Linked DNA regions of Bombyx mori. The protein of the gene in region 1 binds, or shares a complex with, the protein of each later gene. Links are inferred from orthologs where the notes say so. Each region holds a gene or a part of one and is shown on either strand. Other genes may lie near its edges.

Region 1 (3,130 bases):
CGCAGTAAGTTACACCCGCAGCAATAAAGCTATAAAAAGTAATATAATATATCGTAAATCCTTCATATTTGTCACAGGCAAATGAATCCAATGGGGGGCATGGGCGGCATGGGACCGATGAATCAAATGGGAGGGGTACAGATGCCAGCACAAATGGCCGGAGGGCAAATGAGTTCGGCCCCGATGGGCGGTGCACAAATGGGCGCCGGACAGATGGGCGGTATGGGCGGACAGATGTTCGGCGGACAGTACGGCGGTATGCAACAAAGCTACGCCGGCTACGGGCAACAGATGATGCAGGGCGGACAGCAACAGATGATGTCTCAAGTACCCACATTATTTAATCACTAAATTTAAATATGTTAAAACTAAATATAAGCATTTAAATGAAATACTTGTTTTAGGGAATGGGACAGAGCGTTAGCCAAATGGGACAACAAGTCAACGCCATGGGTCAAAGTGTCAATTCTATGGGACAGAATGTCCCCCAAATGAATCAGGGTGTTGGTCAATCTGCACAAATGCCACAAGGCATGAGTCAGATGAACCAAAGCATGGCTCAAATGGGTCAACCTATGAGTCAGATGGGTCAAATGGGTCAAGCTACTGGTATGGGCGGCATGAATACGCAGGCTGGTTCAATGGGTCCTCAAGCTGGCAATGGCATGGGAGCGTTCGCTGGACAACAATCATTCCAGCAGGTGAATAAAAATGTGAATAAATTAAAGATTAGTGTCAAGCTTTAAAATTTCCTTAAAATAAAAATACTTTTTATTTTATTTGTAGAACATGATGGGTGGTCGCGCCACACAAGAAGCCTATTTAGCACAACAAAGACAAACCGCTCGACCGCCGTACATGCAGGTTCGTTCCCATGAATACCTATATACCTATAAACATCTAAGATTCACACTTCTATCCAAACTTATACTTGCTGAAACAAAAAACAGCAGGCGCCGAACGTGACGATGGGCGGCATGGGCGGCCCCGCCCCGCCCTACCCGCGCGGCATGCAGCCCCAGCAGAGCACGCAGTACCAGCAACAGATGACGCAGCAACGCATGCGGCAACAGATGCTGGCGATGCAACAGCAACAGCAACAAGGGCCGCTCGTACAGCACCTGCAGCGGCAACAGCAATATCAACCGCCCTATTGAAAATACACATAATCTATATATATACATAAATCAGTCAAACCGGCGTATGCAAGTGTATGTATGATTTTCACATTATCCAGATCTTATCGTTAGTAGTTTTACACACAACAATATAATAAGCATATAAATTATCAAACTAAAACCGACGATACTGTTACGATGAGAAAGCAAGCCAAGTCGGTCCCTATCCGGATTCGTTGCACTCTTAACGCGAACAGACGGTAGATGCCAAAATGCGATTGTCAAATGTGCGAAATTTCATTGCTAGCAAAATACTTGGGGTAAATGTTAGCGCTAGCTAGATTTGGCATAGTCGCATTGCTTGATGCAAGTAAACCGGAGTAATGTACCAAGAGAAAATAGCAAGTACGTTTCTATTGTTACTGTGTTAGGGTCCGTTCACACAGACCAGCTCGAAGAGCATCGGCCCGCTGTTTTATTTTCACACAGACCGGGTCGTCTACGTTTGGGATTGGCCGGAGTGGAGCCGCCGGAGCAGAGACCGACTGAAAGAGATCTGAAAGCGGAAGCGCACACAATCGGAGCCGGGCGGCTCCTCTTATTATTTCCGCGTTCAAGCATTCTTAAGGACAAATAAGTGTACATGCAAAAATAAATTTTACTACAATTACCTACTCAAAACTGTTTCCAACGGGAAAAATCTCCTCTCCGAGCCGGTCTGTGTGAACGGACCCTTATTAGTCCTTTATCTGTTCCAAATTACACATTTGTTTAATTAGAAAATTCTCTGAGTATTATACTAGGGTATTTACTGGCGATATGTATGTACGTACTACCGTGTATGTACTACCACCCTATTTGTTTTTGCCACGATGCGATCAGGCGTTCCGTCTTGAAAGATAGGGCTGCCATTATTTAATTACAATTAAGACCTTACATATATCGAGATGGCAGCGGCATTCACCTTGTTGTATCCAAGCACTAAGGTAAACGCTCAACTCCGTGAATTCGTCTTTCTGTATGTTAATAATGAAAAATGAAATTCGTAATCCCCTACACGCATCAATCACATACCTATCGTGAAAAACAGATTTGTTGTCTATGACCTTCGAATACATTAATATTTAAGTAGATTGGTTTGAAGAACACGTATTATTTATTTTAGTCCGGTTATTTAATTTGTAAAGAATTATATTAGAAGTAAGTAGTAATATAACAAATGACCTCTATTTGTTTAGGTTAAATCTCTTAGAAAATTATGACATACGAGTACTGTAGATAGCAATAGCTTAATAATTAACTAATTTTCTGTAATCATATTTTAGAGTTTAGTCATAACGTTTGAAATACGAAAACATCAAACATATTTTGTAAATATTTTTTTAGAAATAAAACTTTTGTAAAAAATACACATTTTTTTAATCTACCTCCGGTATACATTTATTACAAATAATTTTACGAAAATATGGTATGTGATACATTGAATATCCCATTTCAATTCATTAGTGATTTAGCATCTTGTGATCGTACACAAGCGTCGCCAAAATTAAAAAATACAGAGCATGGATTACCGGTTCTTCCACGAAGTCTCAGTTAATATTCCTTCAATTCATCAGATACATTAACTTCAATTCCTTTCCTTCATTTGATTGAATATTTAAGATAATTTAAATAAAGAAAACAGGGTTCTCGAATATATACCGAAAGTAAATAAAAACAAATTGTTTAACAATATATCGATTAAAACAGAATATAAGAAATTTTGTTTATTTTCCACTTCGTCTATCAGTAATGTGGAGAAATTGAAAATCGTAAAATTAGAATTTATACAAGCTAGAATAAAAGTAATCGAGAAAACGCCGAAAGAAGTCAATGTCACCGTTCTAATCTTATTCGAAATTAGAAATACTATTATAAAACCTATAGCCATAAATTCCTGTTTTTGTTTTGCAATAAATATTATTTAAAAAAACACGCGTTTATTAATTAATCATCGAACAGCAAATATCGAT
Region 2 (4,400 bases), on another chromosome or scaffold:
GTGAGTGGTTACCGTTGCCCATGGACTTCAGCAATGCCACGGGCAGAGCCAAGCCGCTGCCTACCGCTTAATACTCTCCACAAGCCTCGTTTGAAGAAGGACATGTCAATTGTAATATTCTAAATATTAATCATTCATCATTCATATTAATAATTCATCTGAATTAATTTTGAATATCAATCACTAATAGTCCTCTTATTCTTATGTGTATAATGGTATTGGCTACTTGAGTACCTATCTACTTCAATCTCAATATTAAGAATTGTTTACCAACCAACTGTTTCAATTGTATGCAAAAGTGAATTAGGCACACTATGGCCTGTTTCTTCATAACAAGCTTTGAGAACTGTAAATTTTGTGTCCAATGCTTCAAATTCTGAATTTCCATTTAATCCACATGTTGCACATATTTTCAGAATTGTTTCATTGATGTTTGTAGGTGGATCCCATGACTTGGTGGGACGTAGGAAGCTTAAATAAATAAAAAATACTTAAATCTTATACTGTAATATGAATCTCTAAACAGCAACAATACCTTAAAATGTACTTTGATTAAATTTAAATGTAATTAAATGAAATTTTCAATCAAGAAAAGCCATGAATTATTTACAAAAAAACATGCTCGCAACAAAATATTTCTATGCATTTTCTTTTTTTTAATTATTTAGATTTTTTTAATAATGATAGTTGGCACGGAATCTAGTGTCATAGATCTAAATGTCTCAAGGTGAGTAGCAGCATTTAGATTTTAAGTATATCATTAAGATTTATGTATATTAAGTAGCATGTGAATCTTTTGACTTGTGACAATCAAACAACACTATCATAATATCTCGATGTAGCATTCACACTGTAATGTCTATGGATTCTATTCAATAATTTAAGCCAGGGAAACCATGAACTCATCTACCCTCTGGAGAAGAACAAAAAGACTTGTTATTGACACATTGACATGAATTGGTTTTTTTTAGTTACCCTCTTGCCGCTAAGGATTCTGCCGCTGCTTGAACCTTTTTATCTACTTTGGGATATTTTTTTTGAGCTTGTCTGATAGATGTGACCTGTGAAACAATATATTTGTTTTCATTAAATTGTTTAAGAGCGTTTTGAACGCGGAGATACTGATGAAACATACCTGGAAACTTCCACGACGTAAGGGTGATAATACATTTCTGAGCATTTCTTAATTTTTTTTGGTATCTACTAGTCAGTTTTGTTATATTTATAATTCTTAAACAATGTTATCTTTCGCGAACAGCATAACCATAACCTATATTTACTTTTTTGAAGTTGTCAAATCCACAGGATGGTTGGTGGCGTAACTCCATTAAACGCAGAGTTGTCCCAGCTATAAATTTTATAACTTGAATTCCGTATTTATTGGACTGTCAAAAGGTGTTTTTGATCCAAAGCCCTTGTCTAAAAAGCTGCTAAAGTAATTATAACGTTTGAACAAGACTCCTTAATTAATTTATAGCTATTATGAATTGTATTTAATAATTATTGTTGAACGAATTGTAATTGTTTCTGGACGAAATGAGCTTTCGATTTCTGCCGCTGGGTGCAGCACTGTCGGCTTGGGTTGTTGTTTCCTCTCCGCCATTTTCCAGTCGCCATTGAGAGGTGAAAACTACGCTAAATGTCGGTGATGATTTTAAGATTTTGAGTGGTTTCTTTAAGATTATACCTGTTTTTAGTGTTGTGAAATGAAAATGAAGTGCCCCGGACTACCATGACGCATCAAAATCACCAAACAAACGGTGCAAGTCTCGAGGATTGCCACACAAACTTCTTCGCCTTGGTAAGTCACTTTTACATTGATGAAAGAACTCGTATGTACTTTTCTTTCGAAATCGTTACGAAGTGTGTGACACCTGTGAAGTCCACTATTGTTTGACTACGTGTCCACATTTTTTTGAGAATTCCTAACTAAAGAGACCACGACAGTTAAGTGGACGATCTGATTATCGTCATCGGCCGTTGATATACGAAATTCGCCTCTCTGCAATCGGACTTCCTAATCGATCTTATTGCGCTATAATTTTAGTATGAGACCATTTACACAGAAACAACTAATGACGCCTGTTTGTTAGTCATCCTGGCATCGTTCTCGCGACACCACAGATTCACGTTGAGTTGCTAACCCACAAAATGTCAACGCATTCGGCTAGCGAGGCCATGAGAAGCCACCGGCCCATAGAGGTCATTTTAAATTCACCTGGCCGTAACGCGGACCGTAATGCGTTCGCAAGACTAGTTTCGCCAAGTCGAGGAAATAACTTTCATACGTTTGAAATTGTTCGCTTTATCTTTCGATAGCAAGACAGCTTCGAATGTTTATGTATGACAGCATGGTATAGAAATCGTCGGGGTCATTCATTATCGGTGCCTTATAGTGTTGAACGACTTTGCGTAATGTTCATAGCTGGCGCGAATTTTATCAGATTGTGTTCGGGTGAGGATTAGCGGGTGCGGGTTGAAGGTGCGGGGAGCCGGGGGCGCTCGGTCGTCCTCGGCGAGAAGCGAGAACAGCACGGGCGCCACTTCCACCTGACGCGTTGCCATATCTTCGCGCCGCGGCGGCGCGCGCCTGCCTGCACCCGTCTCCCTCTGCGCTCCGCCTATCTCGACACGATACAAATTACCGATTTCTTGCCCTGCCTGCTTATTGTCTAATTATTTATGCGTCGTTTGCGGACACAAGCTTTTGTCGTGTGGAATTGTACTCGTTTACGTAGCGCGATGACTGCGATGACGCATCAGAGGTTGCTAGGTTGACGGGTTCATTACACTCTTTTAGTCTGTTGTTTTTGTCAGATATAATTTTCAAATAGGTTTTTCCTTGGGCTGAGTTATGGCTTCAGGATATAAAAGATGAAATATTGAGGAGATCGTTCGGCGTCGAGATGGTATCGCAACACAGCGGCGTCTGCTCCGCGACAAGACAGATGTCGCGATGTGTGCGCGCGCGCACTGGTTTGCCGGCTGCGCAGGCGTCTTGCGGCTCATTCAACCGTTTATGAATGGTCGTAATGATTGTAACTTTCCCATAAGCGGGCCTCCGCCCAGGCACTACTCGCGTGCGGACAGATTACCTGTTCACTTGTGGCCCTTTGTCTTCTACTAGGTTAAAACATTCCTAATTTTGTTCAGTTTCGAAACGATTCAATGTTGCCTTTTTTATATTGTAATCGTTAAATATAGCCATTAGATGAACAGTAAAATGGCGTACGACGGCAAACCATTCTCAGTCTAAAATGAAAATATTCATAACCGATCTGGTTACATGATGGTGACCATAAAGTGTTGAAATCCACCGTTAAGTTATTCATGACATCTGACGAACACTGCTCCCACCCTCGGCCTCCGACCCCTTATCGCCCTCTATGCATACGGAGCACGACTTCAATTTCGCCTTGAATGTGCTCATATTTTCCCAGTGTTATGAATCCTTAGTTCCTTGTAGGTCATAACTTTTACAATAATACTACATAACGTAATCTTAATTTTTATCTCACATAGAAAACAACTCAACTCTTGTGATTGTTAGGTGTTGAAAGTTTTCGTTTTTATAATTATTTAACTGCCGTTATATGTATCTACAAAATAAATCTGAAATATTTAATTATGTACGAAAATTAAAACTCGATTATAAACTTTAAATGACTTAACCAGGAAGAAATCTAAAAAATCTTTAATTTTTATTAAAGTCCTTTAGGAGCTGCACAGAAAACGAATGGGGGGTCTAATAATAATACCTCATTAAATCGGGGGGTCATAAATTAAAAGCTTACGTCAACTTTAAAATTACATTATAACACAGATAATAAAAATTAGGATTTTCTTTCACTCCTGCTGAAGTATTTTATTTGTGCACACAGTATGCTATTACCCAATTGACGCGGGAGGGTGAGTCTTAATGAAAAGAAAAACGTTTTAAAGAACTTTACTGGTGGTAGGACCTCTTGTGAGTCCGCGCGGGTAGGTACCACCGCCCCGCCTATTTCTGCCGTAAAGCAGTAATGCGTTTCGGTTTGAAGGGTGGGGTAGCCGTTGTGACAATACTGAGACCTTAGAACTATATCTCAAGGTGTGTGGCGCATTTACGTTATAGATGTCTATGGGCTCCAGTAACCACTTAACACCAGGTGGGCTGTGAGCTCGTCCACATACCTAAGCAATAAAAAAAAAATTAAAAAAAAATTATGAACTCCCTCAGTACACAATTTTAAAATGTACAAATAACGTAGGCATTAAACATATTAAGGCTTAACAGCTTAGTTTAAAAGTAGCAGTATCATGATACTTCAGTAGCGTGGTAGTAAATAAATGAGCAATTACAACGAATACTTGCGTTCGTCGTATATCTCAAGGTCGTTAAAAAACTTCTACCTGGCTTT
Region 3 (4,222 bases), on another chromosome or scaffold:
AATGGAAAATAGGTTCAGATGTTAATAGTTCTGCGAATATACATCCTATGGCCCAAATATCTGCAAATAAATGAGATTTTCTTAAATTACTTTTTTTTTTACATCTCTTTTGACTTGGTTTTAAACCGTGGCTCTACACATTTCGTCCAGGAAAAGTATCAGTATGAATACTTTCACTTTAAAAAAAATCATGTCAATCCATTGGTTTGTATTGACGTGAAAGAACAACATTTTAACATTACAATACACATATAATATTTTGCACCAATGAGTCTATACTTCATGAGCTCAAAATAATTGAGTGCCGCCTTGGCCTACTGCAGTCCCATATCCTGATATTTTTGAACAAGTGTCATGGGGTGGGAATCTTTCTATATTCTTCTTCGATTACATTATATTTTATGTTTACAATGAACTACTGATATGGTATGTAGTTCACAGAATGCACAATTACCGACCGGGTTTACTGAAATTTCAGATGAATTTTAGCTATGTTAAGTAACAATCCAAAAATGAAAATAGTATAATAGTTTTTATTTTCTAAGCTTTTTGGGATTTATTTAAATAATGATGAATTTAATAAAGTGCTACCAAGTTGTTAATTCCATGCTGAAGAGAAGGTGTTTTACCTGCCAAGTGTAGACGTCAATTAAGTAAAAATTACTTAAGTAAGTAAAAGGTAAGTACTTAATTTTATGTGGCTGTAGGTGAATTATTGTAAGAGTAATAAAATATATACCTATGGCCTTAGTGTAATGTCTGGCACCAAGCAACAGTTCAGGAGCTCTGTACCAAAATGTGACTACTACTGGATCTAAGTCAGCAAGTGGTTTCAAAGGTGCATTGAATAATCTTGCAAATCCCATGTCAGCTATTTTAACTCGGCCACGCTCCGGTCCTTCACCCATTACTAATATGTTGGCTGGTTTCTGGAGTATTAATTGTAAATAACATATATTGATATTGAACAAAAATAATATTTATCGATTCATTAAGTTTGATTTATGGTACACCAAAATAATCTATATATATAAAAATAATTGCTGTTCATTAGTCTCGCTAAAACTCGAGAACGGCTTAATTTTGGTCTTGAATTATTTGTGGAAGTCCAGAGGTTTAAAAGGTAGATAAATATGAAAATGTTCGGAATTAAATAAAAATAACAATTTTGTTTTTCCTTTGATATGTCCCCCGTCGGACGGATTCCTTCTGTTTGTTTTAAGTTTATTTTATGCAAAAGTTTGGGTCTTTTATTTATCGATTGAGGCACTACAAAGTCTGCCGGGTCAGCTAGTAATAAATAAATAAAAAAACAACAAATGCACATCATTCAACACAAAAAGAGATTAGTAAGACTGCCGTCCTAGTCTTTCTAATCTCTTCCAGGCCAACAGTAGAATTTCTATCAATTATAGTAATTTATTTAATATAATATTTATTATACTTTTATATATTATGTTATCTAATTTAGTATAAATTACAATTTCAATACAACATGAACTCATAGTATGTGAACGATTCATCATTATAAATATTACTATATACATCACACTCACCAGATCTCGATGCAAAACCCAGTTTGAATGTAAATAATGTATCCCATCCAATATCTGATAGAGGAGGCTCTTCACCATTCCTTTTGGCACCATAACTGATTTTTTATTAGCTTTAGCTGCTCTATGAAATTTGATTATATGCCACAAATCATGTTCTGCATAGTCAAATAGCAGCCAGACTTTTCGGTCAGTATGTGAAAGAAACACTCTAATAAGATTTATGACATTAGGATGTTTCAACTCTCTTAATAGCTAGAAAATAAATTGTTACACGAACTTTTTTATTATGATCTAAACCACACTACTATATTGTAGACCGAATATGAAGTAGAAAAACAGCTGATAATGCAATGTTTGTTTACAGTACACAATAATTATACAACACAACACAATCAAAATAGGTGTAATATCCCATGAACATATTATTTGAAATAATAATAGAAACAAGAATCAAAATATGCAAATTTTTTACATGGTGATGGTGAGTGGTTACCGTCATCCATGGACTTCAGCCAGGGGCTTAGCCAAGCCCCTGCCTACTGTTAAGTACTCTCCACAGCCCTCGTTTGAAGAAGGGCATGTCATAGCGCTTCGGAAACACCATGAAGGGGAGCTCATTTCAAAGCCGTATGGTACATGGCAAAAATATGTATGGAAACACACTGTGGATGAACTGAGTGGCTCAAGGTAGTGTGGACAAACTCTATTTCGGTGGTCGGCGGTGCGATGGTAAAAACGAGATGATGGAATCATTTCAAACAGTTCCTCATAGCACTCCCCATAGAACATATTATTATGGTAATAAATTCACATTTATACAGATATAAATTATTTAAAATTTAAAATTTTTATTTAAAATTAAAAACAAATTACTTAAATGAAATAATTATGTTGTATTTATACTTACAGCAATTTCCCTACATGCTGACATAGAAAGTCCAGTTCCTTCAATTTGTTTCAAAGCATAATCTTTGGTATCGGAGCCATCCTTCCTTCTGGCTTTATATACATGGCCATATGTACCTCTACCTACTTTACAGCCCTCATAGTCGAACAAGTCTTCCACTTTGGAACGTTCATTTTGAGTCTTGATTTTGAAATCGTAGTCCATCATCACAGCCGCCATGGTCTTATTTTGAAAGTTGTCTCCCATTGTTACGGTCGGGAAATGCAGTTTGGATCCCTGACTAATTAGGATTTATATTTTATTACACTTTAAATCATTTTGAATACCTTCCCTCACAAGTTATATACAAGACGTTATTCACTGAGCAAGTAATCACTACGTTATAACATTATTCTCCGTGAATTAGTGAAAAAGCCGTTATATCTAGTTCATGAGTGCAAATTATATCTATACTAGCCTAAATCTTTAAATTAAAACACTAAAACTAGCTTAAATAATTAAATTAAGTTTCATTCTCAAATAAATTAAGTGTATAATCTATGGTTTCATCTGCTTTTTTTTAAGTGATTTTATGACCTGGTAACTAAGACCTTTAAGTCATGTCTTATTTTAATTTATATTCTTATTTTTATGAAAAATGATAATATGGAGGGAAATGAAATGAAAATGATTAATCAACTGGGATGAAATTAAATGAAATGAGATGATATAGGATGAATATAATCTTAGTAAAATGGTGGTCATTTACTAAGATTTTTTCAGTGAACTTTTTGGAGGATCCCGAGAAGTTGCGTCCAGCGGCTTTGTTTCATTTTCCCACATTTGTGCACTTTCACAGATATTAAACAGTTAATAAACCACCGTTATTACACATTTAAACTTGAAGAAACACTAAATAGACAAAATAAAACAAATCACACAACTTCACTCCTCGCGTTCCCGCCAAAAAGTTTAAGTTTCATCTGTGATCATTAAAGTAGCCATATGCATATTTTTAAGGGATTTTACGACCTGGTAACTAAGACTTATAAGTCAAGTCTTATTTTAATTTAATGAAAACTTTTGTTTAATATGAAAAATTATAGAAATGAAATGAGATGAAAACGAAATGAAATACAATGAAAACGAAGTGAAATGAAACGAGATGAAATGATATGGGATTATATTTCAAATCTCAGTAAACTGGTGGTCATTCACTAAGACTTTTGAAGTGGACTTTTTGGAGGATCCCGAGAAGTTACGTTCAGCGGCTTTGTTTCATTTTCCCACATTTGTGCGCTTTCACAGATATTAAACAATTAATAAGCCACTGTTAATACACATTTAAACCTGAAGAAACACTAAATAGACAAAAAAAACAAATCACACAACTTCACTCCTCGCGTTCCCGCCAAATTATTTATGGTAATTTATGTCCGGGTAACTAAGACCTTTAAGTCATGTCTTATTTTAATTTATATTCTTATTTTTATGAAAAATGATAATATGGAGTGAAATGAAATGAAATGAAGACGATTGATTTGTAACATTAATCAACCGGGATGAAATGAAATGAGATGATATAGCATGAAATAATATAATCTCAGAAAAATGGTGGTCATTTACTGAGATTTTTTCAGTGGATCCCATATCATCTCATCTTATTTCATTTAATTTCGTGCCAATTGATTAATGTTACAAATTAATCATCTTCATTTCATTTCACTTCATATTATCATTTTTCATAAAAAAATTATAACCGATTAAGGTGTATGGTATG

What was found.
Region 2: mediator of RNA polymerase II transcription subunit 12 (region 1) and mediator of RNA polymerase II transcription subunit 13 share a complex: the UniProt entries of both Drosophila melanogaster proteins name them as parts of the cdk8 module of the Mediator complex. The link is inferred for Bombyx mori from reciprocal best matches to the Drosophila melanogaster genes kto and skd.
Region 3: mediator of RNA polymerase II transcription subunit 12 (region 1) and cdk8 share a complex: the UniProt entries of both Drosophila melanogaster proteins name them as parts of the cdk8 module of the Mediator complex. The link is inferred for Bombyx mori from reciprocal best matches to the Drosophila melanogaster genes kto and Cdk8.

Annotation. Positions count from the first base shown.
Region 1 is NC_085121.1:11,894,027-11,897,156, reverse strand, and holds the end of mediator of RNA polymerase II transcription subunit 12, read left to right. Parts: coding exon 1-4; intron 5-77; coding exon 78-327; intron 328-404; coding exon 405-701; intron 702-786; coding exon 787-864; intron 865-950; coding exon 951-1,157; 3' UTR 1,158-2,527; downstream 2,528-3,130. UniProt on the Drosophila melanogaster protein: Component of the Mediator complex, a coactivator involved in regulated gene transcription of nearly all RNA polymerase II-dependent genes.
Region 2 is NC_085116.1:1,958,132-1,962,531, forward strand, and holds the start of mediator of RNA polymerase II transcription subunit 13, read left to right. Parts: upstream 1-1,499; 5' UTR 1,500-1,623; intron 1,624-1,658; exon of another isoform or gene 1,659-1,697; 5' UTR 1,698-1,732; coding exon 1,733-1,801; intron 1,802-4,400. Other genes in the region: large ribosomal subunit protein mL50, read right to left, coding at 275-471, 976-1,061, 1,136-1,180. UniProt on the Drosophila melanogaster protein: Component of the Mediator complex, a coactivator involved in the regulated transcription of nearly all RNA polymerase II-dependent genes.
Region 3 is NC_085129.1:10,513,051-10,517,272, reverse strand, and holds the start of cdk8 (cyclin dependent kinase 8), read right to left. Parts: upstream 2,948-4,222; 5' UTR 2,710-2,947; coding exon 2,464-2,709; intron 1,809-2,463; coding exon 1,557-1,808; intron 930-1,556; coding exon 740-929; intron 61-739; coding exon 1-60. UniProt on the Drosophila melanogaster protein: Component of the Mediator complex, a coactivator involved in regulated gene transcription of nearly all RNA polymerase II-dependent genes.